3 linked regions of the Rhinolophus ferrumequinum genome follow. The protein of the gene in region 2 interacts with the protein of the main gene of each other region in a pairwise test. Links are inferred from orthologs where the notes say so. Each region holds a gene or a part of one and is shown on either strand. Other genes may lie near its edges.

Region 1 (10,218 bases), on a different chromosome or scaffold from region 2:
AACAAAGCTCCAGAGAAAGAACCAAACAAAACGGAGACAAATAACCTACCAAATGCAGAATTTCAAACACTGGTTATAAGGATGCTCAATGATCTCAGGGAGAATTCCAACAAAGAGAAGGAACCATAAAAATGGAGATAGAAAACACAATTAAGAACCAGTCAGAAATAAAGAATATAATGATGGAAATGAAGAATATATTACAGAGAATCAACAGTAGATTAGATGAAGCAGAGGATAGACTCAGAGATTTAGAAGATAAGGTAGCAGAAAACATCCAATCAGAACAGCAAAAAGAACCCAAAAAACTGAGGACAGTTTAAGGTGCCTCTGGGACAACATCAAACATACCAACATTCTCTTTATAGGGGTACCAGAAGGAGAAGAGAGAGAGCAAGGACTTGAAGACTTATTTGAAGAAATAATGACAGAAAACTGCCCTAACATGGCAAAGAAAATAGATATACAAGCCGAGGAAACACAGAGAGTCCCAGACAAGACAAACCCAAACAGGCCAACACCAAGACACATCATAATTAGAAAGCCAAAGGTTAAAGACAAAGAGAGAATCCTAAAAGCAGCAAGAGAAAAGCAGTTAGTTACCTACCAGGGATCTCCCATAAGACTATCAGATGATTTCTCAACAGAAACTTCGCAGGCCAGAAGGGATTCACACAAAATATTGAACGTGATGAAAAATGAGGATCTACTACCAAGACTACTCTACCCACCAAGGCTACCATTTAAAATTGAAGGACAGATGAAGACCTTCCCTGACAAGAAAAAGATAAAGGGGTTCATCACAACCAAACCAGTATTACAAGGAATCTTAGAGGGACTTCTTTTTTAAGATGTATATTAATAAAATGGCAATAACTACATACTTATCAATAATTACTTTCAATGAAAATGGATTTAATGCTCCAATCAAAAGATAGGGGAGCTGAATGGATAAGAAAACCCCTACATATCTGCTTACAAGAGACTCATTTCAGATCAAAAGACACACAGAGACTGAAAGTAAAGGGATGGAAAAAGATATTTCATGAAAATGGAAACAAACAAACAAACAAAAAATCTGGAGTATCAATACTTATACCAGGCAAAATAGATTTTAAAACAAAGACTATAACAAGAGACAAAAAAGGACCTAGTAATCCCACTTCTGGGTATTTATCCAAACAAATCCAAAACACTACTTCAAGGGGATGCGTTCATCCATGTGCTCATTGCAGCATTATTTATATAAGCCAAGATATGAAGGCAACCTGGGTGTCCCTGGATGGATGAATGGATAAAGAAGAGGTGGTACATATATACAATGGAATATTAGCCATAAAATAATAGAACAAAATCGTGCCGTCTGGAATAACATAGATGGACCTAGAGGGTATTGTGCTGAGTGTAGTAAGTCAGACAGGAAAAATCAAATGTCATATGATTTCACTTGTAAGTAGAATCTAAAGAACAAAATAAACAAACAAACAAAACAGAAACAAACTCATAGATAGAGAACATTTTGATGGTTGCCAGATGGGAGGGAGGTTGGGGGTAGGTGAAAAGGGTAAGGGATTAAGAAGTACAAATTGGTGGTAACACAGTAGTCATGGGATGTAGGGTATAGCATAAGGAATGTAGTCAGCAATATTGTAATAACGATCTATGGTGCCGGATGGGCACTAGATCTATTGGGCTGATAGATGGGAGGCAGATTGGGGGCAGGGTAAAAAAGGTGAAGGGATAAAGAAATACAAATTGGTAGTTACCAAATAGTCATGGGGAGGTAAAATATAGGGAATATAATCAATTAAAAAAAAGAAAGAAACTCAGAAATGATGACTTAACTGTAAATAAGTCTTGATTATACTTTATTTTAAAAGTAATAGCAGTCATATAAAGGAAGAAATCCAAACACAGCAAGCTAATATACTTGCTTAACATGTTTTTAATTATTGTATATGCTATATAATAACGTTTATGCAGATACTCCTTTTTATTTCTCATTGAAAAGGCATTTATTTTGCTCTGAAAAGCAAGAGAAAGAGACGGTACTTTAAACATCAACTGACTATGCTAAGTGGAACCATCAGTTATCTGCTTTTTTGTTTTGTTCTGTTTTTCTTTCTTTCTTTCTTTCTTTCTTTCTTTCTTTCTTTCTTTCTTTCTTTCTTTCTTTCTTTCTTTCTTTCTTTCTTTCTCTCTTTCTCTCTCTCTCTCTTTCTCTCTCTCTCTCTCTCTCTCTCTCTCTCTCTCTCTTTCTTTCTGTTTTTCTGCTTCAAGTTTTTATAAAGACGCAAATAATGAAAGGTATTATTGTAAATTAGTTCCAAAAAATAACTTTGGGGTTATTTACTTGGCCAGTATGAAATCAGCGTCATCTTTCCTATTTTCTGGGTATTTAGGCTATACAATGAGAATTGATTTTCTGAGTGATAGCCCTGAGAACTTGCAGGAGTCTCACTTATCAAAGAAAGTTTCAATTATGTTCCTATATTGTACTTACCAAGGAAGAAATTAAGGGAGTATACTTCACAAAAGCCTCCTTAAGAAAAGTTGCAATAACCTTCAGATACCTAGCTTAGCACACCTAGATAATTCAGAGGACCCATTTCTCAGTGGACTGTGCAATAGAGATTTATGGGATAAGAACATTTTACTTTTAGCAGTATTTATATATACTCCCAATAACCCCCAACTTTATTACATAATCAAAAGAGGTTTTCAATTAAAATTTAGGGGTAAGAGAACTACATATATGACAGTTAACTCACCAATAGTGCTGAGTAAAATAAAAGAATCAAACAGAAAATAAACAGAAGTACTAGACAATCCCAGGAGGCTGTGTTTATCTGTTTAGATTCCAGGCTGCTTTGCAAGAGAGTTTTAAGGCCTGGATGGGTGGCTGGACTAGAGAATCCGAAGGATGTTTGCCAATCCTGACATCGAGTGATCCATGGAATGGTGACAGTTAACTGGCCAGACCTCGAGGCTCTTTGATTTCCATTGAGTGTTCTCAGTAAATGCTAAATTAGTAATAAGCACATAAATGCAAAATGCCACCAAAGTAAAGAATTACAGCAAGGTGATAAAACATACCACATAGAACTTAATTATGTTCAGTACCAAGGAAGGCAATGGAGATACATATACATATATGTATCAAAAATAAACAACAAAACCCTTACTCTACAAAATAATGTCATCACTGTTCAAGAAACCAAAACCCTAGAATTATCGCCCTAATTTATTAAGATTTTAAGAACAAATTGTCCAAATTTGTAGGGGAGAAAAAAAGAGAAACATGGAATGTAAGCCTCACTGGCTTCTTATTGGTTCTGTAGCAGAGTGATTTGCATGTGGCAATCTCAGGAGAAACGATTAAACCATTATTGATCTCTGGTGAACTTACCAGGATGTTAAGAACCACAGAAGAAATGTATTAACTTAATATTTTTGGGTCAAAGTTCCATCTACCTCCAGAGACAGTAAAGAATAGTTCTAAAAAATTCATAATTTTCTATGGGAAAAATACAGTGCTAGATTTTTCTCCCCTAAAATGTTATAAAGTCCTCCATGTTATGAAGTGCTGCCATTCTAGTAACAGGCTCTAAGTCAGGCCTTCCTCTCCTCAGCCTTTATTCCTCCATCCCGACCCATCCCGACATGGCTGACGTCTTGTCACCTTTCTAAGCCCATCTCTTTCAGGAAGCCTTCCCTGAGCAATAGCCTTCACCATCTTCTTCATTTGTTCTCCAGACATTGTTACTTTTTCCCACACTGTGACAGCTTCTGTGGTATTTTTTTAAGTCCCCAATTTGTATGTGTGCTTGTGCACATGTCCTTTTTTAGGCTGTGAACTCTAAGAACACAGCCTACGTTTCACATTACTTGTGTATGTATCCCTAGACCTTAGCACATGCTTCATACATAGTATTTAGTTAACATTTCCAATATAAATGAATAAGAATATGGAAACATTATGATAATTAGACTAATGAGTGGGATATAGTCTGAGACACAAGGGAAACACATGGGAAACAGGAGCCAAAAAAAAAATAAATAAATTCTTTAGGCTGATGCAATATCCTCCTCTAAGTAATGGTGCAGGTATTCTGGCAAAAATTGCAATAAGCGGCGTGGGGGAACCTGGCACGAGATGCTATCTTTTGGTTCATGAGTAGATACACAAGGGAAGATCAAACCAGGGAAGCAAGAGCTCTTTATAATGCAAAATACTTAGTAAAACATAAAGAACTGACACCCAAGGATTTCTACTCAATCATTATTTGCTCTCAAGGACCTCTTTACCCTTTCTCTGTGAGCCTCCACTCTGGAGTATATGGATTGGGGGTACTGTCCTAGGGTCGGGGGCTAGGCATATCCAGCGTCCAGTGTGGCATTCCCACGCATTTCACACAGAATTGATGTCAAATCGGTCTCCTCAAAGTTTCATCTCATTCATCCATCCAAGGTAATGGCCTATTTCTAACCAGTCTCCCATTTTAGAGACCCCCCGTGTTATCCACACACACGCCTTCTTGTACACTCCCCACATCTATGGGTAAATATATCCTGTGCGTTCTATTCAAGAAACACTTTTAGTTTTTGCAGCTTCAGCTTTAATCTTCCTTATAGTTCCATAATATTCTAGCAACAGCTCTCTCTTTGAGCCACTAAGAAAGTGTCTATTTGTCCCTCCTGCCACCATATGTCCTCCATCTGTTGCAAGAAACCTCTTCCTTAAATCAATTAAATAAAATTAAAAAAAAAAATTCACAAATACCTGTATCAAATCTTTTACATTTCCTTTCCTTTCTCTTTACTCTTTTTATTCCCTCCTTTTCTCACAAGTTTTGAGGGGGGAATCTTGCTTACTGCTAATATTTAAATTCCTTAGATTAATATATGACTCTGTAAATTGGCTCCAATCTTTTCTTTCCCAGCTTCATATCCTGCCATTTAAAATCATATACAAATTTCTTCCATTTCATTGACTGTTTCACTTTTCACAAGAAATAATAGGCCTTGTCATTAATTCTTTTTTTTTTTTTTTTTTTTGTATATTCATTTCTTTTTGTCTGGAGTGACTCTCATCGTTTTCCACATGGAAAATGCTCATCCTTCAACATCCTTTTTCCTTTTTAGAGAAATGTCCTTCGTTCTGTTGGTTCCCTTAGTATACTGAACGTGTCTTTGGAAAAGCACTTATCTCCAGTATTCTGATTTACCGATTAACCTTTGATCCCTCCCGAGAATGTGATCTTCAAGGACAGGCACTAAGTCTGACCTACCTCTCACATTAAGCACATAGCATGATTCTTTCTATGTAGGATCCAAGCACTCACTGTTTGGGGAATAAAAGGACGAAGACTACAATGCTCAAATGAACAAAATGTATGTTTACATGTTGTTTAGGAAGAGCTGAAATTTTTTCATATCATGGGTTAAATAGGCTCTGAAGCGCTAACCTGGGAACCCAATGGATTGGAGTAACTTCGTTTCTAGGGGAGTGGACATTCTAAGTTCCAAGCAGCACACATACTAATGAACTTTGGAACACAACATGATACCCCAGGGTTCCACCAGGCTAAGCAGCAGGCACTGAGGCTGGCAAGCAGCCCTCAGACTGGTAAGTGCTGAGCCTCTTGGAAAGGTAAATGAACCTAAATGAAGGCAGCCAGTCGTGAGGAGCAGCTGAGCCAGTAACCGAGACCAGCTCCAGTCAGCCAGTGCACAACAAATGCCCTCTGCCCACCTGGCCCGCCTGGGCCCATGCCATGCTGGTCACTGTGTACTGTGTGCGGAGGGACCTCTCAGAGGTAACCTTCTCCGTCCAAGTCAGCTCTGACTTGGAGCTCCACAATTTTCGTGCTCTCTGTGCGCTCGAGTCCGGCATCCCAGCTGAAGAGATCAAGATCGTCTACATGGAGCGACTCCTCGCTGATGACCACAGTTCCCTGGGCTCCTATGGCCTCAAAGATGGTGATGTAGTTGTTTTACTTCAGACGGAGAATGTGGAACCTCGGACTTCTGGACGGACACCGAGCCTGCCTCGAATAGATTTCAATGGAGTAGCCATGCCTGGGACATCCGGCTCCCGGCAGCAACACCAGCAGCAGCGTCCACAGTCAGCCCAGCAGACCCATGGTTTAGGTTCCGGAGAGAATTTAACATCTGCTCAAGGTATGGACAGCCCCGCCTTGATTCGAAGCATGCTGCTCTCCAATCCCCATGATCTGTCCTTGCTGAAGGAACGCAACCCTGCCTTGGCCGAAGCCCTGCTCAGCGGAAACCTTGAGACATTTTCTCAGGTCCTAATGGATCAGCAAAGGGAAAGGGCCCTGAGGGAGCAAGAGAGGCTTCACCTCTACTCTGCTGACCCATTTGATTTGGAAGCTCAGGCCAAAATAGAAGAAGAAATCCGGCGGCAAAACATTGAGGAAAACATGAATATAGCGATGGAAGAGGCTCCAGAGAGTTTTGGACAAGTGGCCATGCTCTATATCAACTGCAAAGTGAACGGACATCCTATGAAGGCTTTTGTTGACTCAGGTGCCCAGATGACCATTATGAGCCAAGCTTGTGCTGAGAGATGTAATATAACACGGCTGGTAGACCGCAGATGGGCTGGGATTGCTAAAGGAGTGGGCACACAGAGAATTATTGGCCGAGTTCATCTAGCTCAGATTCAAATCGAAGGTGATTTCTTACCATGCTCTTTCTCAATCCTTGAGGAGCAACCCATGGACATGCTTTTAGGGCTAGATATACTCAGGAGACATCAATGTTCCATTGACTTGAAGAAAAACGTGCTGGTGATCGGCACCACTGGCACACAGACTCACTTTCTACCTGAGGGAGAGTTACCCCCATGTGCTAAGCTGGTAAGTGGTACTGGGCTACAAGAGTCTCCAGTCACTGAAGTAGCAGATAATATCAAACATTCGGTCATGGACGCAAGACGAAGAAAACATTGAAATGGGTTACACATAAGTCATCAACTTAAGGGAGTCTCAGGTTCCGGGAAATTTGAAGACATGAGCCCACTGGCAATGTAATCATTAAAAACATCGGTAACAACTAAATCTGGCTTTGGGACCAAGTTCTCATAGCTGTAACCATGTAAATCATAATGGCCTATTCTTGCCCCCTCTTCCATTTCCCTCATCCGTAGTTCACTGAACCTGATCCTGGGAAGGCTCTGGAGGCTCCAACTGATTACCAGGTAATCAATGAACGGAAAAGTTACCTCTTCCTTTAGCGATATCCTCCCATCAGATTACAGGGCGGCTTGTCCAAACTAGTTGTGATTTTGCAGAATTCATTGGAATACACCATCGCAGCAGACCCCACAACCATCGACACAAAACTATTTCGAATCAGCACTAACAATTATTTATATTCAGAGAAATATGTCTGTTGTCAAAAATTTTGTTTTCTTTGAGAAAGTTATTAGAAATGCTGGGTCAATTATACTCTTGAGTTGATCAATACTTACAAATGTCTGCTTTGGATAGCATAAGCACTGATTTCTTTATATTTTACACTTTCCCCTAGACTCCCCTGGAGTCATGCTCACTGCGATCAACTCCTCAAGGCTATGTTTGGCATATTCGAGAAAGTAGATTTTTCTCCTAGAATCACTTAAAATAATTTACTCTTCCCTTGCATTCAAAGAAACCCTGGTTGTAAAACAAAGCCAATCAAGTAGATTTTTTATTTTTTATTTTTTTAATTATAGTGTTTCTTGGAAGCATAGTAGTTTTATGATGGTGAGAGTGGGAGGTAGGGGCAGGAAGTGGTCCAGGTCCCTTAATACTCATTTCAACTAGATCAGTTTTAAAAATCTGCTTTGTATATTAAACTGCTACATAAATATTTTTCAAAAATTGTTTTTCACTCTTAAAATAACATTTGAAAACTTCTGAATGAGAAGATCTCTAAGGCCTCATTCAGCTCTATGATCCATCTGACAAAGCTCCTCTCCAGTGATAGTGATAAATAGAAGATCCTAGACTTCATTACAACCCATGGTTAAAACATGTGAGAGAAAAGGTTCGACTGTCTGAGGCCATCAAACTCAGGGAAAATGTTTCAGGGCAATAATCCATCTAGACTGGTATTAGAAAGAGCGCTAGATTCAAAGTCAAGAAATATATGTTCTGATTCCAGCTCTCTATTACTTAGACAAATCAGTTCACATACACAATTCAGATTTCTCATCTATCAATTGTTTCAGAGGGGAGAGCCATTTTCAAGTACGAAGATTATATTATGATCTATGATATCTTTAAAGTTTTTCTATTTCTCCAAAAAAGATCTAAAGCCACTCAAACCATTCTGAAAGACTAGAGAAAACAAAACAAAACAAAACAATATAAACTTCCCCTATAATCACCATATCCTTTTATATCCCTTTCTCGATCTGTATCTTAGTGAAATTAATCACCATCTTCCTTAAGAGTCATCTTTTCCCCTGCAGCCATCATCAGTTTACCTCCTGGTTTTCTTCTTCTTTATTGGTTTTCCTATGCTCATATTCCCCAACCTTGTCCATTTACATCAAGGCTTACACCTAGAAGAACGGCTAAAAATGACCAACGGAGACTTCTTTCTACTTTTGTTTTTAACTAAGTACGCAGGACAAATGTAATTAACAAAATGAAGGGAGAAATTCAGAATAAGTCAGGAGTAAGCAATTAGATGCTTGTGAATTGATGGGAATTGATCTGACAAATGCATGGATTCCTTCCCAGATAAAAACATGAAACTCCTTGGTATCTCCTGCAGGACTCAGTATGCTGCTATAAAGTACCTCACACAGATTAGTACCACTAAATCTCAGAATAGTCCTTCAAACTACTTGTCATTAACCACATTTTACAGATGGGAAATTCTAAGCTCAGACTTATTATGAAACATTGAAATATCCACTAGCTTAGTGGGTTGCTTTTTAAACTTTTTTGACAACAATCTGCAGTTTCACATCTCTCTCTTTCTCACACAAATGCACACACTTGGTCTATCTCTGAAACAAAGAAACAAAAATAAATAATATGAAATGTTTTATACTTTTCTTTGAACTATTATATATACTTCATTATTTACAAAATATATTAGCTATATCCCACTAATTGTATCCCACCAAGGTATCCTGATCTACAATTTGAAAACACTGACGACCTGCCAGGTTGCCCAATTCAAGTCTTTCTGATTTCAAATGCCAAGTTCTTTACACTTTGTAACCTTCTTTACCTGACATATTTTAATTCTAGAGACTGATGCAAAATTGTTACACAAGTTTATTTTATGGAAACTACCAATTTCTATAAAATACCAGTGAAAATGACAAGAGTAGCAGTAATCAGAATATACTCAACAATTACTTATTGGACACCCATATAATAAGCACTGAGCCAGGTTTTTATAAACATGGGAATGAGTAAATTACAGTTCCAGACCACAAGGTGCTTACAACCTGGTAGTGGTACAAGACAATCTTGTAATCAACTAAGAACAAAAAGAGAGTACATGGAATTAGTCACGTGCAAATGACGGAATGAACTTTAATTTGGGGGTTATTTTTAAAATAAGAAATACACCAGAAAAATACTTTCAAAATGTCTAAAATGACCATCATTAATATTGGAAAAAACAAACAAATATACTCTCCTCTTAAGGTTCAGGTTGCTAATATACAATTTATAAGTATCCACTATTGGAAAGTAACTACGCGGAAAATAAGGAACAGATCTTCACTTTCCTTCTTCCCATTAGTAATCACGATAAAGTAAACCACATGATGTAATAGACCTCACTGGTTTAAAATAAAAAGCCATTTAGAAAATCCATTAAACCCTTGGTTTCACCTAATGTACATTTAAATACCCATCTTACCTCAAAGAAAGTAGCTATTGTTGATAAGTATATATTTGAAAACAACAGTAATGCATTCTGTTGCAGTTAAACAAGAAGACTGATGTTGTCTACGGTTAGTAGTGCCTATAATCTTAACTTCTTTCTTAAAATACCAGGTCATAAAATGTATCTCATTTCTAGGGGATACTCCATTCCCCTAAAAAGAAAAAAGACAAAGAGATGTCTGAATATATGAATTCATCTTTACTGCAGGTACTAAATGCTGCCTTTTTAAGACAACACTGCACTTTTTTAAGAGGGCCATTTGCTGACATCCAACATTCCGTAGAGAAACACTTG
Region 2 (11,238 bases):
TGCATATTGATTTTTCTTTTGTTTCTTCCCAGTTGAGCCCCAGGTGAAGATTTGACTTGCTGGCATTAATTCTGAACACTGTCCAGGCCATTTCAATACTCTGTCCTTTAGCCTCCTGAAGACGTAGATTCTCTCCTCTGCTTTTCTTCTTTCTCTGAAAATGAATAGTCACAAACACCTTTTACTAAGTAAACATAAAGACAAGTGGAAATCCTAGCTAAGAGTCTTTCTGAGGAAAACAATAGTTTAGTCACTTGACATCAGATAAAGAAAGGATCCATTTCAAGAGAAATAAGACATTGTTTTGTGAGGGCACTTCTGAGTGGTTTGTAAGGAACTTGTGACTACAGATTTTTTAAAAAAATTATCTCTTTTTTTTGAATTTGAATTCTAGTATTCAGGTTCACTAGAAAACCAGTTTGTGCACTGGTTTAACATTTTTGTTTTTACTAAAAAAAAACAAGTTATAATCTTGAAAGTCAATGAAAACTGAAAATGAAATAAAAATTTTAAATTTTAATTTTGAAAATATTGAATATGGATCCTGGTCACTTCTCAGGGCCATGCATTTTTTGCCAAGGCCAGCCAGAAGCGTTCTTAAAAGACTATAAAGATTCAGCAAAAAGAACAGCTTCATAATGTAGTAGAATACAGTACCCCTTGAGGTGTATATTGTTCAATCAATAATAAAAAGTGTAATTCACAGTGAAAATTGTGAAGAAGTTCAAATTGAGGGTTGTCTAATGTGTTTTCTGAAATTCATGTTTGGAAGTTATAAAGGAGCCTGCTTTGTGAAGCACATACATGCATAGTGTCTGTGCTTGAATCAGGAGTTGCTAAGAAACGTGCATTAGGAAAATAGGGAAATGGTTTTAAATTTATAAATATGAATAAAATTACCTCAATTGCAATGCCAAAACATTTGAAAAGATATTAAAGGTAGTGAAAGTGGCCTCTTACTTTCATGAAGATTGTATGTTTTATATCCCATGATATATCCAAGATGACAAGTTAGTTCCAAGTATAAACTGTTGTTTCTTTGTATCCATTTTTATACAAAGCAGCTTTGGGCATAAAGTACAATACTATGCTTTTTTTTTTTTTTAACTTTTTTCTGTGTTTATTTCATACCTTTTTTGCACAATAATTCATTCAGACTTGACCAAAAAATGTTAACATTCTTTGAACTTTCATCTCTTCACCTGTTTCCCAGTAATAGCCTAATTACCACATCTTTTGATTTGTAGAAATATATAATATTAATAATTGATAATAAAGAGGAAAATATTCCAAAGACTGAATAACTTTAAAAACAAAACATTTCACTTTCTTGCAAGCAAAAATTATATTATGGATTAACTCCTAACCTTGCATAAACCACATAAAATACACTGAAAGTGGTAACATATTTTCTTCTAATGAACTCATAGAAAGCGAGTTCTGGTTGCTTACCTGCAAACAATCTTCCATATGTTCCGAGGGGAGAGAGCAGTTTCCTAATGGCAAAGCAAGGGACAGATGAACAAAAAATTACTCCCTGTTTTTCTGTGAGATTCCATAGCTATTTTGATTAGCTCATGGCCTGGGACAAAAACCGGAAAGTCTACTTTCTAACCTTCTAACCTCCACATCTTTCAGTCACATTAAATGTAGTTTCTTTTGTGTGACATGTAATTCCTCAAAGCTCTCATGTTCCCTGCAGGACTAATGGAACAATCCACAATTGTTTACTCCTTTTGCTATCAAATGATGTTCAAGTGAAGGTCAAAGCTGCATTTTAAAGAATCTACAAATTCCAATGTAAAAGCATGCTTTAAAGCTTTAAAAACATTTTTGTTTTTTTAAACTGTTAAACATAGTCTGGAAATGAGTAACTTCTTGAAGCCAAGTATTTTGACAAGGAGAGACAGAAACTGGACTACGGGGCGGAGGGAGGAATACACAACAGGCTGAGATATGTGTGGCCCAGAAGCATCTCAAACCTTGTCCATGGAGATGAAATTGCAGAAACCAGAACGCAACTACAACTCTGAATAAGACATTGCTAAGTACCTTTTGTACAAATTGTATCAAATATCCAGAATCACTGTACTATTGCATTGCAGTGATATGTTGTACTCATTTCCAATTGGGCACTCTTCAGAGGGGTTCAAAAATTAGATTTCTACTTTAAAAACCACTCATTTGCTTCAGTAGCTTTGGTTTGGGAAGCAGAATTCTTATTTTTATAAGTGCCCCAGGTAATTTTCTAAGATGTTTGGAAAACATTGATATAAGCATCTGAAATAAATGGAAGTTTTGCCTACATGAAGACATTCAACCTGAATTAAATAGAGCTGTTTTAAAAACTGTACTACTTTTAACTCATTTAAATTGGCCCATATGCTTTAGTGAAAGGAAAATTTGGTATTGCTTGTTAAAAAACAACAAGTTATTTTAGGAATATTAGAGGGACTAAGAAATAAAGATAATTTTTAAGTAGATGTGAAGTAATCACATAGGTTGACTAAATTCACAAGATGTTTGAAAAATAATATTTCATCGTTATTTTAAAAATGAGAGTTGTATTATTTACTTAATGTTTTCATCAGTTGATAAAATTGATAGAAATTGTTTTAAAGAAATGGGGCCTGAGAAATTTAAATATGTCTTTAATTTTCCTAAAATCTTTTGCTTTTAATACATTTATATACATTTATTTAAAAAAATCCAAACCATATAGTAAAGTACAAAAAGAAGTAAAAACTATTCAAGATCTTACAATCTTAACATTTTGGTAAACATCCTCTACAAAAACAGATACATGACAAATGGATTCATACTATTTCAGAACCTGTTTTTTAAAAATACAGTATAAAATTATATTTTTCAGTGTCTCTAAAGTTTTCTCTACATCAAAAGTTGTAATCTCTAAAGAAAGTTTTCTCTACATCAAAAAATTGTAACTCTGCAGTATTTCATTCTATACATGTACCAAAATTTACTCTGTACCTCAGCTTCCTCAGCTATAAAACTGTATAAAAATACTATTATAGTACATGTAAAGTACAACAGTGCCTGGCATATAATGAACATTAAATGTTAACTGTTATTATTATATATTCTGTTTTCCAGTTTATTATTATTAAAAGCAACATTGTGATAAACATCGTGTACTTAGAATTTTTTCCATTCTAGGTCAAAATGTGTATTTTTCATAAATTCTTAAAGAAATAGCCTAACTCTGTGACCGTTATTTCAGTTTTCTGTAAAACAGATCATGATGTAAAGTGCTTAAAGTGAATCATAATTACCACAAAGTTCAGTCTTTATGATTTAATGATCAGTCAATAAGAGATCTATAAAATTATGCCTCCAGTTACATATAAGCAATATTTTCATGAAGCTTGAAAATAATATTTTAGTTCGTTTTGTAAATAAAGGAGTTTATATTGCTCTGACTGCATTTCTAGCTTAACAGAAAGATTTCTGTATGTTATTAAAATAATTTGATGTTTTAAGATGCTTCCAATCCTAAATGTCGTTATCATGTTGGGGACAAATAACTTACAGGATCAGTGCCTAGTATTGTCAAACTAACATCCCAGATTCTGTGTCCAAGCTGATCTGGTAATATTATTGTGTGTGAATTGCCTTTCTAATGCACATCATTCTTTGAGTGTGATTTTTTTTTTTTGGGGGGGGTCTGTTTTTAAAAGGCAAAATACCAGTCTGAGGCATATCTATGATTGCCTCATAGATATGGTTGGGAAACAAGCATCCATTGGTGAAAGATTCTAAAGAGACTGTTTTTCTGGGCTGACCCACTGAATCTCGCATTGTCACTGATGGTCCAAATCTCTGATACAGGGGGCCCCTTCCAGCACAAGTTCCCCAGCTAAATGCCTAATACTGGACATGTCACTTTACCTTCCCAAAGAGGTTGCTAAGTTCATGGTCACTCACCCAGAGAAGCTTAGAATGTCTCAAACTGTACCCTCATTGAGAACAAGTGTGAGAGGTCCATGTGAGAATGGGGTTTTATCAGTAATGATTTAAAGGCCAGGTGAAACGAGGTCGAGGTGAAAAACTAGAAGCTTTTCAGAGTCTAAGCACACTGAAAGAGGCAAGTCATAGATTCATCTTTATTTCTTTCATTTTCCCAGGGAGGCTAGAATCTAGTAGAATTTTCCCCATGTCTTTCAAGTTCTAGTTTTATATTCATGGTGTAAAGAAAAAACTGGATGACATCACCTCACTATGAAGCAGCTAAGTTACACAGAAAGAAGCACAAATGTAACCAAACAATGTGTTGAAAAGATATCTTGTTTTACAGATACGACGTTCTTCTTTGGTTTTTAACCTTTGCCCTTTGGTAACATAAAATTTTAATCACTATTGGAGAAGGTCTCTTCCGTTTTAAATAAGGGAAATGTATTTATGATGAAGGTATTATTTAACAACTTGTCATTCAAGAAGAAAGCTGAAGGTTGTAATAAGAAAAATAAAGTCTAAACTCATATTATCTCCAAGTTGAAGACATTTATAGTTGGTTCTCACATCTTGGTCTGGGAAAGTTTTCAAGGGTTTTTTATACGGTAAGAGTAAACACACCCTCTGCTCTCTCCCAATCCTATCCCTCCTTCTACTCAAAGGTACCCTAATAATACCCCCTGCCCCTCAGGATTAATTCATAGCTCATGAGCAACACAAGATCCTTTGTATTATTTGGGGTGAGCTCTCTTTTTGCAATGTTTGGTGACAGAAGATGGAGAAGAAGCTCTCCTTAAGTAGTCCTCAGACTGAGGGAGGCGGGGTTAGAGAAAGGAAGGGTAAGAGGGTTGCAAGAAAAGCCACCTCCATAGGCAAAAATGAGCAGAAGGGGTCTGACCTTATGTCCAAAGCTAACATTCCGTAATGGCTCGCCCAACCACGTTGAAATAGGGAAAGCAATGACGTTTCCATAGGTTAGGAAATATTTTAAAAGAAGGCCCACGATCTAACTTTATTTAGTCGACTTGTGCTTTCTTTTAATCGCATAAAAAGGATAACAGGCCCCAGCAGCAAACACAGGCTTCTCTGCTTCCAAACCGCTTTCCCCCGTGCACCCCTTGCGCTGAGTCCTGCAGAACCTGCTGCCGTCCGGCTGGACTTTCTTTCTGCAAGATGGCTCCTACACAATGACCATGCCGAAGACTAAGCTCTAAGTGCCACCTACATGTCCAGAGACGGCCAGTGAGCCTTAACCCCTTGGGACACGAAGAGGGACTGGGCCAGATGGGCGATCCCAGATGTGATGTCTTTTTGACTCCCTGGACCCCAGACTGCCTTCATCCCTTTCCCCCACTCCCGTTCCTTTTGCCTTTTTCTTCCTCTCTTGTAAAGCAGCGTGGAAGAAAAAGCAGACTGGCTTCCTCTCGTCTCCTGTCCCTCGCGAGCATCGCTGCAGACCCGGGCAGGCTGCAGAGGCGTTGCGCCCGGCGTGCGGGGGAGGCTGCGGGGCCGCACCTTCCCGCCTCCCGCGCGGTCCCCGCCGGGGCACCAGAGGCCCGCAGCCTTCCAGCCCTTCCCGAAAGCCGGATCCCGTCCGCAGGTCTGGCGGGCGGCAGGGGTCCTGCGGGCGGAAGTGCGAAGCGCGCCGTGGGAGGAGGCTGCAGGCTGGGGGCTGGGATCCCCTCCCGCCTGACGCGGCCTTGGACAACCCGCGCAGGGACGGCGGCCGCCTGCCCACTCCCGGCGCGCGCCAGCCGGCCCTTTTTTGGCTCTGAACCGGACCAGAAAGGCAGGGCCGCCGCGCTGGGGGAGCGAGGCTGAGCTGCCGCACCCGGGACCAAGAGAAGGGACTGCTTCGCGGGGCGCTGCCGCGACCCACACAGGCTGGGCGAGCGCGGCAGGGAGCGGGCGGCCCTTCGCCGGCCTCCTCCTCCGGGCGCCATCCCCCGGCGCGCCCAACTCGGAACCCGGCAAGCGCGGGGGCGGGGAAGCGATCGCGCAGAACTGGCGGGCAGCCCCGCGGCCCCTGGTCCCCCAGCCATGTCGGCGGAGGAGATGGTGCAGATCCGCCTGGAGGACCGCTGCTACCCGGTGAGCAAGAGGAAGCTCATCGAGCAGAGCGACTACTTCCGCGCCCTCTACCGCTCCGGCATGCGCGAGGCCCTGAGCCAGGAGGCCGGCGGCCCCGAAGTGCAGCAGCTGCGCGGCCTCAGCGCCCCGGGCCTGCGCCTGGTGCTGGACTTCATCAACGCCGGCGGAGCCCGCGAAGGCTGGCTCCTGGGCCCGCGGGGAGAGAAGGGTGGGGGGGCGGCGGAGGACGAGGAGATGGACGAGGTGAGCCTGCTGTCCGAGCTGGTGGAAGCGGCCTCCTTCCTGCAAGTGACGTCCCTGCTGCAGCTGCTGCTGTCCCAGGTGCGGCTGACCAACTGCCTGGAGTTATACCGCCTGGCGCAGGTGTACGGGCTGCCCGACCTGCAGGAGGCCTGCCTGCGCTTCATGGTCATCCACTTCCACGAGGTGCTGTGCAAGCCTCAGTTCCACCTCCTGGGGTCTCCTGCTCAGGCCTCAGGGGATGTCAGCCTGAAGCAGAGGCTGAGAGAGGGCCGGATGACTGGGACTCCTGTCCTCGTGGCCCTGGGGGATTTTTTGGGGGGGCCTTTGGCTCCTCACCCCTACCAGGGGGAGCCCCCCTCCATGCTCAGGTACGAGGAGATGACTGAACGTTGGTTCCCGCTGGCCAACAACCTTCCTCCTGACCTGGTTAATGTCAGGGGTTACGGGTCTGCCATCCTGGACAACTACCTCTTCATAGTGGGCGGGTACAGGATCACTAGCCAGGAGATCTCCGCTGCACATTCCTACAATCCCAGCACCAACGAGTGGCTCCAGGTGGCCTCCATGAACCAGAAGAGGTAAGCACCCAGCGAGCGCTGCTGCTTTCTCATTCATTCACTTGTTCATTAGTTCATTCCCTTAATGTTTACTGAGCAGTCACAGGAGGTTGTGCTGAGGTGGGAATGACATCTTCAGGAGTGTGGCTGGCCTTGACTCTGGCAAAGTTCCCAATGAATAAGAACTTTCAAGGATGAAGAGGCCCCAGTGAAGTCAACTAGCTGAGTAGTTTCCTTGCAGGTATTGTGTCTTTAGGCAAACTGCTTTCTTTGCCCCTGTCCCAGTGGAAAAAAACATTGTGGTTTTCCAGAAGGATACTTAAAAATAAAATTGTTTTTTAATTTTGCTTTTATTTTTTATTTTTTTTTTATTTTTTAGGATCTGATAATGATGACACATTGACAGCAACCTGTAACACTGACCTTGGGGGATTTTTGTTGTTGTTAATGACTTTGAAGTCTTCCACACTAGGGCACCAATCTATGATCAGGAGATAATCATTAGATTAGAATTGTATTAACATTAGCTGTGTAGGATTGCCTTTCTTATTTTTTATCCTCTCTTTCTCATCTCACTTCCTTCCTAGGCATTGTTATTGACCCAAAGTTTCAGCCTGGAACTGGTCACCTACACTGTTAGAATATTTCCATCCATCCCAACCTTCTCCTTTCCCATCTTGCAAATCCCTCCAGACATGAACTTGGGTGACATGAAAAAAAGATGAGAAAAGGAGGAGATTGGGGGAGAGTTAGATAAAGGAATCAGGAAAGGAATAGGAAAATAAGAGCAAAGAGCAAATACAGGAAGGGGTGGTATGAAACAAAGATGGTCGGGCACAAGATGGCCCAGAGCCATTCAGAAGTGGGGAGAAGAATCAGTGTAACTCAAGAAAGAACAAGAATACCCTTTCTTCTGATCCACCTGTATCCATCTCCAGTCCCACTATGTGTCTTGCCCTGAAGTGTGGAGCAAGGAGTCGAGGGACTCACCGCCTGTCAAAGAAATTCTTAATAGGAATGGGGAGGCCATTACATATATTTACTTGACTCTAGGGTGCCCCCAGACCAGGGGGAATACTGGCTTTATTTCTACTATAATATAACATTTATTTTGGAAAGCATTCCTTTTTTCTGATGATTAAAAATAGTATATAGATATTCTAGAAAAATGGAAAAATGGAAAAGAATAAAGAAACACAAAGGCTATCACTGCTACTGCCTCCTTCTGAGAGGGAATAACCATCTACAAGTTGGCATATTTTCTTCCAACCCCTTTTTAGTGCATTATTTACACTGTTGAGATGATACCATATTTAAAATTTGTTATTAGAAGTGTTGTTTTAAAAGAAATTCTAGGAGCTTTAATTGAAGCAACACAGGAACACTCAGTGGTGCTCAGATTAGGGGTGGAAGGCCCCTCTGGTTGTCTGTCACTTCTACACGTGTCTCTAATTGTATCAATTGGTGCAACCTCCAGCTCCATAGCTCTAACACAACACCTCATAAATTCTTGTTTTTTCTTCACAAATCGTTGGTAGTCTTTTTTTTGCCCCTTTTTTCTTTGGGCAAAAAAAAAGTATTCGAATGATGCAGGAATATATGCTTAGAAAAATTGCAAATGACACGAAAAACTATAGACTAAAAAATATGTCTATCTATAGACATACTTATATATTATAAATTTATAAATACATATTTATATTTATAAACTAAATGTATAGTCATATAAATATAAGTATATTGATAGTGTTTAACGGAAAATGTATATATGTATGCATGTACATGTGGGGGTGCATACTTATACATATATTTACTCAAATTGATTAGGTTAGCTGATTATTACGGCACTTGATATTTCTACTTAACAGTATACTGTATCTGACAGTTTTTTCTATATCAACAAATGTCGATTCACTTCACTCTTATTAATGGCTGTGTAGTATTCCAGCCTATGGAAGTACGTAATGTAATTAGCGCTTCCCTTATTTATGAGCAGTTAGATTGCTTCCATTTGCCATTACAAACATTGCTATAGTGGACATTTTGGTATATGTGTACATATCTTGCTAGGCATCTTAAAGTTAGTTCTATATGGCAAATTCCTAGAATCCCTGGAGAGGTGGGGCAGTGTCTGTACATTTAAAATTTTGGTAGCTCCTGCCAAATTGCCCATCAAAAAAATTGTTCTTATTTCCTCTTCTATCAAACACTGTCTAATCAACAGAGTTTGAACTTGCCAGTTCCCTAGACTCTTGCCAAGATATTATCATCATTTTTTATTTTTACCAGCCTACGGGGCAAAAACACTGGGGTGAATGTCTCTGACTGAGAGATTGTTCTTTTCATATTATTACCAGCCATTTGTATAGTTTTGTAAATGGCCTTTACTAATTTTTAAAAAATTGACTCATTTTTTTCATATTTATTTTAGAAGTTATATTTATGTATGTAGATATTAATCTCTTGTCTATTAAGTAATATTGCCCAGCTTTTCCCCTGTGTTTATTTTATTGTAAAGTTCAATAATGAAATGCCTGGAGTGACCAGGCAGGTGAAATCAGTGGGTCGAGGGTGGGAGTTAGGATGAACCAGAGAGCTATTGCCCCACCACAAGAGGGCTCCACCTCTCAGCCACAGCAAGTTATTGCCAAGTAGAAGCGAGGAATGGTGTGGCGGGAACTCCAGATATCCTGATTTTTTAGATTTTTTTACTCCATTTTAAAAACGAACAAATCAGTAGCAATGATAAAAACCTTGTAGACCTAACAAAGTACAGCACTGGCCTTGGCTTATATAAAGAAATTTTAAATTCCTTTGTAGTCAAATTTGTCGTGTGTGTTCTCTGAGCTTTTTAATCTTGCATAGTAAAGGATTCTACAAGCTAAGAATATATAAGTACTTATCTATCTCATGGCCTATTTTATACTTTTGACTTTTTACATTTAAATCTGAATCTAGGATTTATTTTCATGTAAGGTATAATGTAAGGTTATAACATGTTTTCTAAACGTCACAATAGCCTCAGTTCGTCTTACTGTAATTTGCAAAACCAGTTATCAAATGCCAATTTTCCTGTTTTCAAATAGGTAGATTGGCCATTCCTGCATCAATAACACATTTTAAAATCAATGCAGCTTGCTAACCTATTTTATTATTGTCAAGTAGCACAAAGACCCCTTTGTTCCATTTTGTTCTATTTTAATTGGCTGTTTTGTACACATCTTCTCCTTCAGGTAAACTTTAAAATCAGCTTGTCAAATCCTTCTGGAATTTTGATTGTGATTACATAACTTTGATAGATTAATTTGGAAGAGGATTCACAATTTTATACTACTTTACAGAAAAATGGTTTGTTTTTCCAGGTATTTATTTAGGTCTTTTGGTCCTTCAGAAAGATTTCTTTTATTATCTTTGAGAGTTTGTATATTTTTTGTTAGGATTAGTCTTAGGTATTTCCCAGTTACTGTTTTTTTCCTACACAAATACTTTTTCCATTTTTTTATTTTCTGATTGGTTATTGATGCCATATTGGAGTTTGCATCCTTCTTTATCTCTCTCATGCTTTGACTCAGATCTGACATAATCTCAACCAGGAGAACCTTCCTGAACCCTCAGTTGGGCTAAATGTTCAAACCCTGTGCCCCCTCTTGAATTGAAATTTTTTGTTTGTCTCTCTCCTTTTCAATCAAGCTCAATTACTTATTCAATCAGTGCTTACGAGGTGTGATCATAAAATACAGTGAATGTTTAAATAAAAAAATTATTACAGTAAACGACACATTGCCATTAATCCCCCTCAAAATACTCCCCCTCTCTTTGAACACACTTATCTCATCATTCTTGCCACTTTCTGAAGCATTTCTGGAAGTCCTCTTTCTGAGTGTCTTTAGTTGCACTGTTATGGCTGCCTCTATGTCCTGAATCGATGCAAAATGTTTACTTTTCATGGTCATTTTAACTTTGAGGAAGAGCCAGAAGTCACATATTGCCAGATAGTGAATAAGGTGGATGAAGGCACACAGTAATGTTTTCATTTGACAGAAAGTGAATGTACCAGAAGTGATGTGTGACACAGCCTTTCTGTTATGATCACAAAATACAGTGAATACTGCTGCCGAGTGCCATCCAAAAGACAGGCAGGGATCTTCAATACGGGAAGTAGTACATTGAATCTTAGTAAGAGTATGTAACAAGTTTCAACTTGTTTGGTGCAGTCAATTGGGCGTGAGCTACAGTTGAGAGAAGGTGTGTTTTAAAGTGTGCTGTAAATCATCCTCCATCATGACAATGCTCCGGATCACACATCACTTCTGGTGTACGTCAATTTCTGTCGAATAAAAACATTATGATGTGTCCTCATTCACATTATTCACTG
Region 3 (10,740 bases), on a different chromosome or scaffold from region 2:
CAAGGGAGAAATGTGGTCAGATTTGCGTTTGACAGAGGGCCAGGCACACAATAGATACACATACATTTTTTTCCTGAATGAGGGAAGGAAAAATGGAAGGGAGGAAGGTAGGAGAAGGAAATCAAGGACAGAAAAGAAGTGCATGTGTGACGGGGGTCCCTGTGAATGCCTATGCAGGGGAACTGGCCTGGGGAGTGTCGTGGTGGGAATACACAGAGGCTCTGTGAAAGGCAGCAGCAGTGCCAGAGCTGGCGGCTCAGCAAGGAATGGTGTGGGCCCTGGAATCTGCTGGCCTCCTGGGGTTGAGCCTGAAGGCGGAGGGGCACACCAGAGCTAGGGACCCTGCACAATCTTCCAGGGCTCGACATGGGGAGACTGGGGCAGGTCCTCAGGCATGAGCAGTTCATAAACCTGAGGGCAGCAGGGGGATGGGACAAGGGCTGATGTAGCCCATATGGTGCTTTTATACAAAAGACATGCCCCTTCCCCGAGGCACTTGATCTCCATCTGCTGGCAAACTGTCATAATAAATATGTAAATGCATGATGTCTGAGATATGTGTGGTAGTCCCTTAAATATGGAGACTATGTGCAGTGCACAAACTGTGCAACTGTACGCAGAGGTTCTGGGGAGAAGGGGCCATCGCTGGCCAAGCAGGCACAGAGGCAGATGGGAGCATCATTGACAGGTGGGTTGGCTGTCTGCATCAGTAGGTATTACGATTATCCCCCAATTTGGCACCCAGAGACAGTAGGAACAGGCCCCCAGGGTGTTGTAAACAGGGCATTGCTGATCCCACACTGGGACTCCTGAACCACTGGACAGATCTCCAAAGAATCTAAGGCAGTAGCATCATAGACCCCCAGACTGGGCACCAGGGGGCATTGCTGAGCTCCACCTAAACTCCCAAGGTCTGGGTCTGGGTCGAAACGGAATCTGAGTCCCATCGCCCAGGGGTTGGAGTCAGGCACCGGAAGACCTTCAGCTTGGACATCAGGTCCCGTCGGGTCATTTCCACTCCCCTCCCGTGGCCGCCTCATCCACTTCCAGAAATGGGTACGACTTCCTCTGCTCCTCCAGGAAGCTCCACTCTGCCCGCCCCTTCCCGACCCGAGGGGCCCGCCCGGAGCTGCCGGCCTCCCCGAGTTCCACCCAGCTTCAGCCTCCCTTAAGCTTCCGGCCAGAGGGAAGGCGGTGGGGCCCAACGATCCTGGTGTCCCCTGTCGGCGTTTTCCCGTTCGAGGCCCAGCCGGCCCCTCAAGTCACCATCCGGCCCTCAGCTCCTCCTTCTATCCCCCGCCCCTCCCCCACCAGCACCCTGGGCGCTGCCCTGCCCCCACAGCCGCCAGGAAGGACGCCGCCTGGGTCCCGTGCCAGGCCTCTGAGTGTGCGGCCCCTCCCAGCGGGGCCAGGAATGCGGCTGGACCGCGGGGGCGGCGCAGACACCCGGCGCTGAGGCCAGCCCTGTCATACAACACAGGCAGTCAGGCAGGTGGCCTCAGCTCGCCCGGGCCTGGGTTTCTTCTAGAAGGAAAGCAGAACAGCCTGCTGTTCAGTCAAGCCACCAAATCTAGTGGCTTTATTTCTAAGTCAGCCTCCAAGCAGCCCTATTCCCTGCCCAAATTGAGATTTGAGACCCGGAGTGAAATTTATTTTTTAAAAGTTGCTGGAGTCTCCCTTTCTGTCACCATTTTCCTGGAGAAGCTGCCTCTCGGAACTCCTTGGAGAGGCTCCATCCAGCCTTCAGCTTTGTGCTTTTATTTCTAGCTCATTCTGAAAGCTCCCTTTTCCCTCTCTCCTCAGCCCCCCTAGACTCCAGGCAATGACTAGATTTCCTTATTAAAAAGTGGCCTGGGGCCCCCCTGCCACCACCACTACTATGATACACAGGCACACCAGGGAAACCTGGCTGAATATGTTCTGGGGAGTTTTCTAGAGGGCCAGTTACCAGACCTAATTGTCTGCTTCTGAGACCAATAAAACTGTAAAGTTCATGGTTTGAAACCCACCTCCTCAAGTGATGAATTCCTGGAGCCTCAGTTTGTCAACTGCAAAATGGGGATAATAAAAAAGCCCATCTTGTTATGAGGATCAAATGAGTTAACACATGTCAAGTGCTTAGAGGTATGCCGGATACACAGTCCACGGTCAATCAATATTAGAGGTTATTGTCTCACCCTCGCCTTAACCCAGAGACAAAGAAGCACACAGACTTAATATTTACCAGACCTGGTTTTTAATTTCATAAAACTGGTTGGGGTCTCTTCCCACATCTGGGAGAGAGTATCCCAGGCTAAGACCTCCGGGGAGTCAGTCCAGCACTGGGCCTCGTCCAATCACATTCCAGCCACCAGGCCCTATAGTCCATGGAGGACTGATCCCAGACTCCTCCCATCAGCCTGAGACAAGGGGACGGAGGTGAAGCTGCCAGGGACTGACTGTCTCTCTGAAGCATCCCTTTCTGTTCTAGAGGAGCCAGCCATGTCTTTCCAAGGACAGTTGTTTCAGCCACCAGGCTGTTTGGTCACCAGATAAACATCCCAGCCCTGGGGTCAGCGCCCCGGCCCTGGTGGCCGCTCCAGTGCCTGTGTGCCCACCAGCACATCCATGAGGTAGTCCAGCTCAGCCTCATCCAGCTCCGGGGCTTGTTCCTTGACCGGCCCATCCTCAGGCCCAGGTTTGAGGCCCTCAGAGGCTGGTGCCCAAAGTTCACTGTCATACATGGAAGTGTCAATGTCCTCAAACAGGCCCTCGAGCCCATCGTCCAGAAGACAGCCAGTAGCTGGGCCCAACAAGTCCAAGGCACCCAGGCCAGGGGGGGCTCCCCCCGTGGGGCGGCCAGGTGGCCCCTCGTCTGCCAAGGGCTGGGGGGCCTGGCTTAAACCCTCGATATGACTGAGGTCCTCCAGGAGGCTGGCCATGGAGGCTGAGAGGGCAGCGTCTGAACTAGCCAGCAAGTTGTCAGCCATGCCAGGGGCTGCAGGCACACTAGGCACAGGTGGCAGGGAGGCTGTGGGCACCATGGATGCCTGGATGCGCCGCAGCGTGTTCACTACCAGCACCAGGTGCCGCAAGTCTGGCTCACTCTGCCGCAGACTGTGATGAAGCTTGAGCACTGAAAGGTCAAAGAGGGAACTGGAGGCCACGGCCGGGGGTGCCTGTGCCACTGCTGGGTGGCTGGGATCCAGCCACCAGGCGTCCACTGCCAGGGCTTCCTTCTCCTCCTCCTCCTCCTCCCTCTTGCGCTTCAGGCCCTTGCTCAGCATCATCTGTGGGGAGACAAGTTCTTGAGTTACGGAAAGCCAATGTCAAGTTCAAACCCTGGTCTGACTACTGCTGCCTGTATGATCTTGGGCAAGTCACTTATCCTCTCTGAACCTAGGCTTTCTTAGAGAACCTTTACTATATGAATGATAATAGTCTACTTCCTAGAGTTGTTTTAAGGAATATATGAGATAATATCCAAAAACCACTACAACAGTGCCTGGTACATAGCAATTACTCTTATTCATAAGCACTATTATTATTAAGTATTATATTTCTTCAATGAACCATGTGAATTGTCCAGTATTCAACTTTTTTAACCTATAAAAGCAGCTGTTTCACATAGTTTAATCTAAGTTTATTGAGTATGTACTATGCATCAGACAATAAACAAATACAGGAAATGTACAGATGGTGTTAGGAAGATACTAAAAGGTTCTGGGGAGTGGTCAGGGAAGGCTCCTCAGAGGAGATAACATTTGAGTTAAGCTCTCAAGCATGAGAAGGAGTCAGCCATAGAAGAACGAGGGGAAAGCAATCCTAGAAGAGAGAACCACAGCAAAGGCAAAACAAGAGTTGGAGGCAGGATGAGCCTGTACTGAAAAAAGGCTAGTGTGTGCCAATTATACCTTAAAAAAAAAAAAAAAGACCAGTGTGGTCAGCGCACAGAGTGGCAAGGTGGGGGCAGGGGGGTGGGAAGGGTGGAGAATAGGCAGAGGCAAGGAGTTTGGATTTTATTGAGTGTGGTGGGAAGTCATTCAGGAGTTTTCAGCAGGAAGGGGAGTGGTGCTGTGAACTGATTAGGTTTCCAGAAGCTCCTCCTTGGCTACTTCGAGGATGGTGGTCGGGGGTGTAGGGAGAAGGGGGAGATCTATTCGGAGAGACTACTGCACTCTTTGGAGCAATGACGGTGGCTTGGAGTAGAGGGTGGTAGTGGACATGGAAGGAAGTTGGTCGATTCAGGATTTATTTGGGAGGCAGAGTAGACAGAGCTTGCCGGGAAATCCTGATGGGCACGGGAATCACTGAGAAAACTTTGAGGACCCACACTTTCCTTCGGGCGGGATGTGGGGGGGTCCCTGGAGTTCTAGACCACTGGCCCAAGCTTTTTTTTTGAGGAAGACAGCCTGCACGGTCCAGTCCCCGGACCCTTACCCAGTAGGACCTTAACAGTGACCCCTCATACTACTCAGAACTGGGTCCTCGTCTCCTTCCCCGTAGACCCGAGAGTCCGGAACCGCAGGAATTCAGCCCCCACCCCCACTCTAACTCCGCCCCCCTGTCCCCGCGCCCCCTAGTGGCCCCAAGCGGGCCTTCCCCCGGGGATTCCAGCCCCTCAGACCCCAGGACCCTGTACACCGCCCCCCGTCCTGGCTGTCGTTCCTGCCTGCCTGCCAGGGCAGTGCAGGCCAGGATCCCGTGGGCTGCTTTGCCCTCTCGGCCTCCGCTCGCTACCGGAAGGCAGTGGAGGCGGCGCCTCCCGAAGCGGCGGCGGGGGCGGGTGAGTCACGCAGCCGGAGCCAGAGAGCCGGCGCCTCCGCCCCCTTCCCGGGCTGCGGCGTGATTCACCCGGCCCGGCCAAGGCGGGCGGCATTTAGAGGCCCGCGCTTCTCGATCCCGGTCCGTCCCGGCACGCACCTGCCGGGCGCGGGGATCGAACCTGCCAAAGACTAAGCCGCCGGTACCCCTTCATTCCCTAGGCCCCTTTCCTTCATTTACATACCCAGTTCACCAGCTGCCAATCAGAACGAAGAGGGAGCCACCCGCAGCCAATCAGGAAGCGGCGGCGGCAGCATCACTTGCTAGCTCTCCTTCGGCAACCGGCGCCTGGGTCGCGAGACGTAGTTCTGACTCCAGCGCACGACTCCAGGCTCCTGACTCCTCTTAGCTACCGCCCACTACCGTAGCGGCCCCGCCCTACACCCAGGGATTGGCCCTGGACGGTTATGGGAGGAGCCTGTAGGGGGCAGGTTCGAAGGGAGGGAAGGTTGTATTCAGGGCGCATGCCCGGGCTCCTGCGTAAGGGTAGAGTAGAAGGTAGGGTGGCTCTTTGCTCTGGTAGGTTGTGGCAGGGAGGGGGTTTTTGCTTATCAAGGTGCAGGCCACTCACACCAACGCATGCGCTTGCCAAACTTAGCAATTGAGCTTCTTACACACCCAGCCCCAACAGGGGTCTACACTCTAGGCCAGATAGGCCTGGGTTCAAATTCTGACTCATCACTCACTTGATGTGTGACCCTAGAAAAACGCTTGACCTCTTAACCACACGAAGTCTATTAAATGGGGATCTTCTTGCCTACCTCTTGAGTTAGGAAAATTAAAATAAGATCGCATCCGTAAGAGCACTATACTAGACTCGGCAAATTTTGGGCAGTTGGACTCAAAGGTGGGAGTCAAAAGATGAGAGTGGGGGGATGCCACTGGGGTCGTATATTGGGCGCCATTCCCTAAGTAGCTGAGTGACCTTGAGCAAAGGTTTTAGTCCCTTAGAGTCTCGGTTTCCTCATCTTTATTAAAATGGAGATAGCATCTGGTGCAGAAGATTGATTTAAGGATTAAATTGAATAATTTGTGCAAAATGCTCAGAGTGGTGCACAATGTGTCCTTTTGTTAGTAGTAATAGCTGTTGTAGTGATAGAACAGGCACTTAGTTCAAGGGGGAGCACGTGGGATGGGGTATAAGTAGACAGGAGTTTAATACTTGTCTGATAGACTGAAAATGGGACTTACCTTCTTCAAGTAGAGTAGATCATTTGCTAACTCTGCTGGAGCTGTGGGAAGAACTGTTAGTTGTGAATAACACTCCTGGCCAAAGTAAGTGCTCAAAAAGTGCAAACTATACTATGCAGCATTATTTATAATTGCCAAAATATCGGAGCAACCTAGGTTTCCATCGATAGACGAATGGATAAAGAGGATGTGGTACATATTGTCAATGTAAGAATGTTCAAACCTGTAGATAATTTTTATGAGTTTATGTGAGCCAAACCGACAACATGCTGGGAAGCAAGATCTCAAATGCTCCCTCCAGCAAATGACAGTTTTGCAGCGTCTATTATGCATTTGGAATTAAATATGGAATATTTCTTCATCTTTTCTAAGTGCTAGAAATCTTTCATAATAAAAAGAGGGTAAAATGATCATTAGAGCCAGGCCCATGCTAGGAAAATTCAAATTATTTCCCCCACAGCCTATCTTGTTGGCCAGGAAAAGGAAGCACAGTCTCCAAGAGGCTTGCTCCACGTCGTACATGGAAGAGCTCACAAGAGTCATTTGATTAACATGTACAAGAATTTATTGACCGCCTACTAGGTGGTGTACACTGTTGTAAATGATGGGGTATACTGGATAAACCTCACAGGGTCTCACTTCTTATGGATTAGGGGAGGGGTGGAAAGAAAAGAAATATGAAAAGAGGTGACATGGAGTAGAGACTTGGTGAAATGAGAGAGGTAGTGAGGAAGGGTCCAGCCAGAAGGAAGGGCCAATGTGAAGGCCGGGTTGTGGGCGTGTGCTGGAGGCCCGTGTAGTTGGTCTGTATGCTGTCGGGAGCAGGTCAGAGACGTTTTTAGGCCCTTCTGAGTACTCTACGGACCTTTGTTTTTCATTCTGAGTGGGATGAGAAGACCCTGGAAGATTAATAAATGAGGAAGATAATCTCTGCCTCCGTTCAGTGACTTGAAGAAAACAAAATAGGATGGGGTTAATAGAGAGGCTTGGGGAGAAGTATCTGTAGCCAGGGTGGTCCCGTGGAGGTGACTTTGAAGCTGAGACCAGAAAGTGGAGAAGGATCCTGAAATTCAAAGAGCTGGGGGAAGGGAGAAGGAAAGAGGCCGGGCTTTAGGAAGTGAAACTAGTAGCGAAGCTACCGGGCCCAGCAGTCCTGGGGAGGAGCCTCAGCCAGCTGAGAAGGGAGGGGGATGGGGGAGCGCCCCGCCCTAGCCGGCTGCCCCACCCGGCCTCTGGGGAGGGAGGAGGCGCCGGGCCGGCTCCCGACTGCCGCCGCCTCCGGGTATCCCGCCCAGAGCGAGCCCAGGGCGGTGGGTGGGCAGCGGGGAGAGACGGGGCCTCCCTGCCTATGCCCTTAGGTGGCCGCGGCCCATCCTCCACCGAAGGACAGCGCGGGAGGGCAGGTTGGGGAACGTGGACTCTGCCCTCGGGACCCAGTTCTCTCTGCCGTGCCAGCCTTTCCACTTCTCTCGCCAGTTCTTGAACACGGCAGGAGCTCGCTCTCTCTGAGCCTCAGTTTCTTCATCTGGAAAGTGGGGGTGCTCCTCATACTGGCCTCACTGTGGTTATCTTTAGAGCAGTTAAGGAGAGCCTATTTAAACGGGAGTCAGGTCTTGCCCCCCCCACACACTCTGCTCAACACCCTCCTATGGCTACCATTTCACTCAGCGTGGAGTTCAGGTCCTCCCTGTGGGACTCCCTTAGACCTTACATGATTTAGACCCCTCAGCACTTTCACCTCCTCCTAGTACTCTTCCCTCTTGCTCACTCTGCTCCAGCCACACTGACCTCCACACCCTCTCTCAAATGCTCCACACGTCGGAGCCTTCACCCTGGCTGTTCCCTCTGCCAGGATGTCCCCCACAGATTCATTTGGCTCACTTCTCACCTCCTTCAGGTCTTTATTCCAATGTCACCTTGTCACTGAGGCCTTCTTTAGCCATTCCATCTACATAGCGACACCCCCTCATCACATTCCTGCTTTCTTTTTCTCTACAGCATTTGTTACTTACCTTTTGTGTTTATTTCAGCCTCCCCCCACTATGATGCTATATGAGAGCAGGAACTGTTTTACTCACATGCATGGAAGAGTGCCAGGCCCACAGTAAGCACTCAGTAAATTCGAGCAATTATTGGAATCCTCAGTGTGCATTAGGCCCCCTTTTACACACTTTGCACAGTCGCTTAATGAGGCAGGTAATACTCCACGTCTTGATGTTGGGACATGCTGGTGTATTTGAAGGATGGCAGAGAATAGTGTGGCTGGAGCATGGGAGCGAAGGAGTATGGGGGAGATGAGTACAGAGAGGTGGCAGGGAGGGTTGGCCATGGTGAGATCAGGAGTTCATTTTTTCAACAATAGCAAAAATGGACTTTTTTTTGAGTGCCCACCTGTGCCATGCATAGTTCTACTCACTGGGGGATACAGCTGGGCTAAGACCGACGAAACCCCTTCCTCTCAGTTTCCAATAAACCAAGAGGCAACCATAAAAAGGTAATAATTTGAGCTTGAATAGGTGCTACTATGAAAATCAAACAGAATGTGATTAATCAAACAGGGGTGGTAGTGCATCTGGACATGTTGAGCTCGGAAAGGCAGGGAAGGCCACTGAGAAGGGGAGAGTTGGATTGGTGAAGCTGTGGGGGAAATGTCTTCTGGGGAGTTAACAGCAAGTGGAAAGGCCCCAGGGACAAAATTAGGTTGGGGTCAAAGGAGACCAATGTGGCTGGAGGCGAGTAAGGGACAGTGGGAGACTAAACTGAGGAACAAGACTATCAGGTCTCAAAGGCCTTGGTGAAGTTGGGATTTTATTGAGTAGGAGAAGTCACTGTAAGTTTTAAGTAGGAAAAAGACACGATCCAGTGGGCATCCATATTGAGATGCGGAACTTCTGTGCCTTCTTGAGATCCTCTGTACCACCTCCTCTTTCTTGATTGGCACCTACCTGTTAAGTTACCCCACTGCTTTCAGACTTCAATGCAATGCCCCTCTAAGGGTGAGAATCTGGCTTTGAGCCAGAAAGCACAGGCAAAATCCCCCTCCTTTCCCTGCCTGTGGACTATGCCAAGGTGTGGTTCCTCCTTGCAACGCTTCCAGAAAAGTCCCTAATGCGTAGTCACCTGCTGCCATGTCCTCAAGTGTTTGTGGAAACATAGCCAGTTCAGCAGCAATGTTATCACATTGTATCTTCCCTAGCCTCTCTTCTCTTTTCCCCTCACTCTCACCAGCCTGGGTTTGTACCTACCAAATAGTTAAAAACCATAACTTTAGCCTGGCTCTACTTCCTAACCTGGTTTTCTGAAAAACCATTCAGCACTGGGAATCTTTGGGCATTTTTCTCCTCTGGGGTTCAGCAGCACATTTTATACAAATGAAAGGGTTGACAAAATTTTAACTGTCAGAAAGTCCTATCCTGGGCCAACCTGGTGGCTCAGGTGGTTGGAGCTCTGCGCTCCTAATGCAGAATGTCGTGGGTTCGATTCCCACGTGGGCCAGTGAGCTGCGCCCTCTACAGCTAAGATTGTGAACAACAGCTCTCCCTGGAGCTGTTGGGCAGCCGTGAGCACCGGGAGGTTGGCCTAAGCTGCGGTGGGCTGCCTCGGGCTACTGTGTGCCACGGTGAGGCGGCCGCAGCAGCCAGCCAGAGCTGCCAGGAGCTGCTGTGAGTGGCCAGACGACTGGCGACCAACTGCTTCAGTGGGGGCGGGGGGGGGGGTCAGGGAGCACAAGGCTCACAATACCAGCATGGGCCAGGGAGCTGTGTCCTACACAACTAGACTGAGAAACAGATTGAACCGTAGTGGGGGGGATAGGGGAGGTGGAAGAAGGGGGGAAAAAAAGTCCCATCCTTTGACAGGTAATTGACCTGACTCAGTTTCTCCAGGTGGCTGGGGAGTCTAAATCTACCAAGCAGCAGCAAATACAAGTTGAGAACCAGGCTCTCGAAGCAGATTAAGTTTCAGTCCTAGCTCCCTGGTACGGCTTATTAGCTGGGGGACCCTGAACAAGTGACTTGGCCTCTCTGAACCTCAGCCTCCTATGTAAAACATGATTACAGTATCTACTTCTATATGAGGATTAAACGGCTTAATTAAAATAAAGTGGGTAGAATAGTGCTCTTAACAAGCACTCAATAAACGTTATATTTAATGATGTACTTCCCCAACTTTGGCAGGGAAGGGGTACAGGTATCTAGGGAACTTACCAGATCACTCCCATTGACCCACTGAAGTTTAGAAACTTTAGACAACACCATCCCTTCCAAAATATTTTTATTAAAAAAAAAATAATTACAATCAAAAAAACCACCACAAAACCCACCTTTCTTTTAAATAATGTGGCATGGAGCAGTTTGGTTTCCACCCTATTGCACGTGGTCCGGCCTGGTTATGAATCAGGAGGCTGCTGGGACTGGGGTCCCACCAACAAGGTGGGGTTCTGCCTGGGGGGAGGAGGCCAGCCCCTCCTATTCCCTGGAGGTAAAAGAGGCAGAGCCTGGGTTTCCATAGCAACCAGGCAGTCCACCCCAGTCATCATTTGACAGGCCCAGCTTATCTTCCCTGAGGCCCCAGTGGTCACAAGGGGAGTAGGAACTGGAGGGCAAGACAGAAGAAATGCGGAAGTGGGAAATCAGACTCCCAGAAACAGGGTCTCATTAAGGCATTTGGAACAGATAAATTAATTCAGGAAGACCCACCTTCACAGAAGGCTATGGTAACCAGACACACGCACACATGCAAGACTGT

What was found.
Region 1: the proteins of KLHL42 (region 2) and DDI1 interact in binary tests that used the Homo sapiens proteins (3 or more experiments, as listed by UniProt). The two-hybrid records come from large-scale screens. The link is inferred for Rhinolophus ferrumequinum from reciprocal best matches to the Homo sapiens genes KLHL42 and DDI1.
Region 3: the proteins of KLHL42 (region 2) and SERTAD1 interact in binary tests that used the Homo sapiens proteins (3 or more experiments, as listed by UniProt). The two-hybrid records come from large-scale screens. The link is inferred for Rhinolophus ferrumequinum from reciprocal best matches to the Homo sapiens genes KLHL42 and SERTAD1.

Annotation. Positions count from the first base shown.
Region 1 is NC_046294.1:73,278,624-73,288,841, forward strand, and holds DDI1 (protein DDI1 homolog 1), read left to right. Parts: upstream 1-5,777; coding exon 5,778-6,977; downstream 6,978-10,218. UniProt on the Homo sapiens protein: Probable aspartic protease. Seems to act as a proteasomal shuttle which links the proteasome and replication fork proteins like RTF2. Required, with DDI2, for cellular survival following replication stress.
Region 2 is NC_046293.1:38,442,830-38,454,067, forward strand, and holds the start of KLHL42 (kelch-like protein 42), read left to right. Parts: upstream 1-5,879; 5' UTR 5,880-6,012; coding exon 6,013-6,884; intron 6,885-11,238. UniProt on the Homo sapiens protein: Substrate-specific adapter of a BCR (BTB-CUL3-RBX1) E3 ubiquitin-protein ligase complex required for mitotic progression and cytokinesis. The BCR(KLHL42) E3 ubiquitin ligase complex mediates the ubiquitination and subsequent degradation of KATNA1.
Region 3 is NC_046298.1:39,107,890-39,118,629, forward strand, and holds SERTAD1 (SERTA domain-containing protein 1), read right to left. Parts: upstream 5,144-10,740; 5' UTR 4,988-5,143; intron 3,270-4,987; coding exon 2,553-3,269; 3' UTR 2,214-2,552; downstream 1-2,213. UniProt on the Homo sapiens protein: Acts at E2F-responsive promoters as coregulator to integrate signals provided by PHD- and/or bromodomain-containing transcription factors. Stimulates E2F1/TFDP1 transcriptional activity.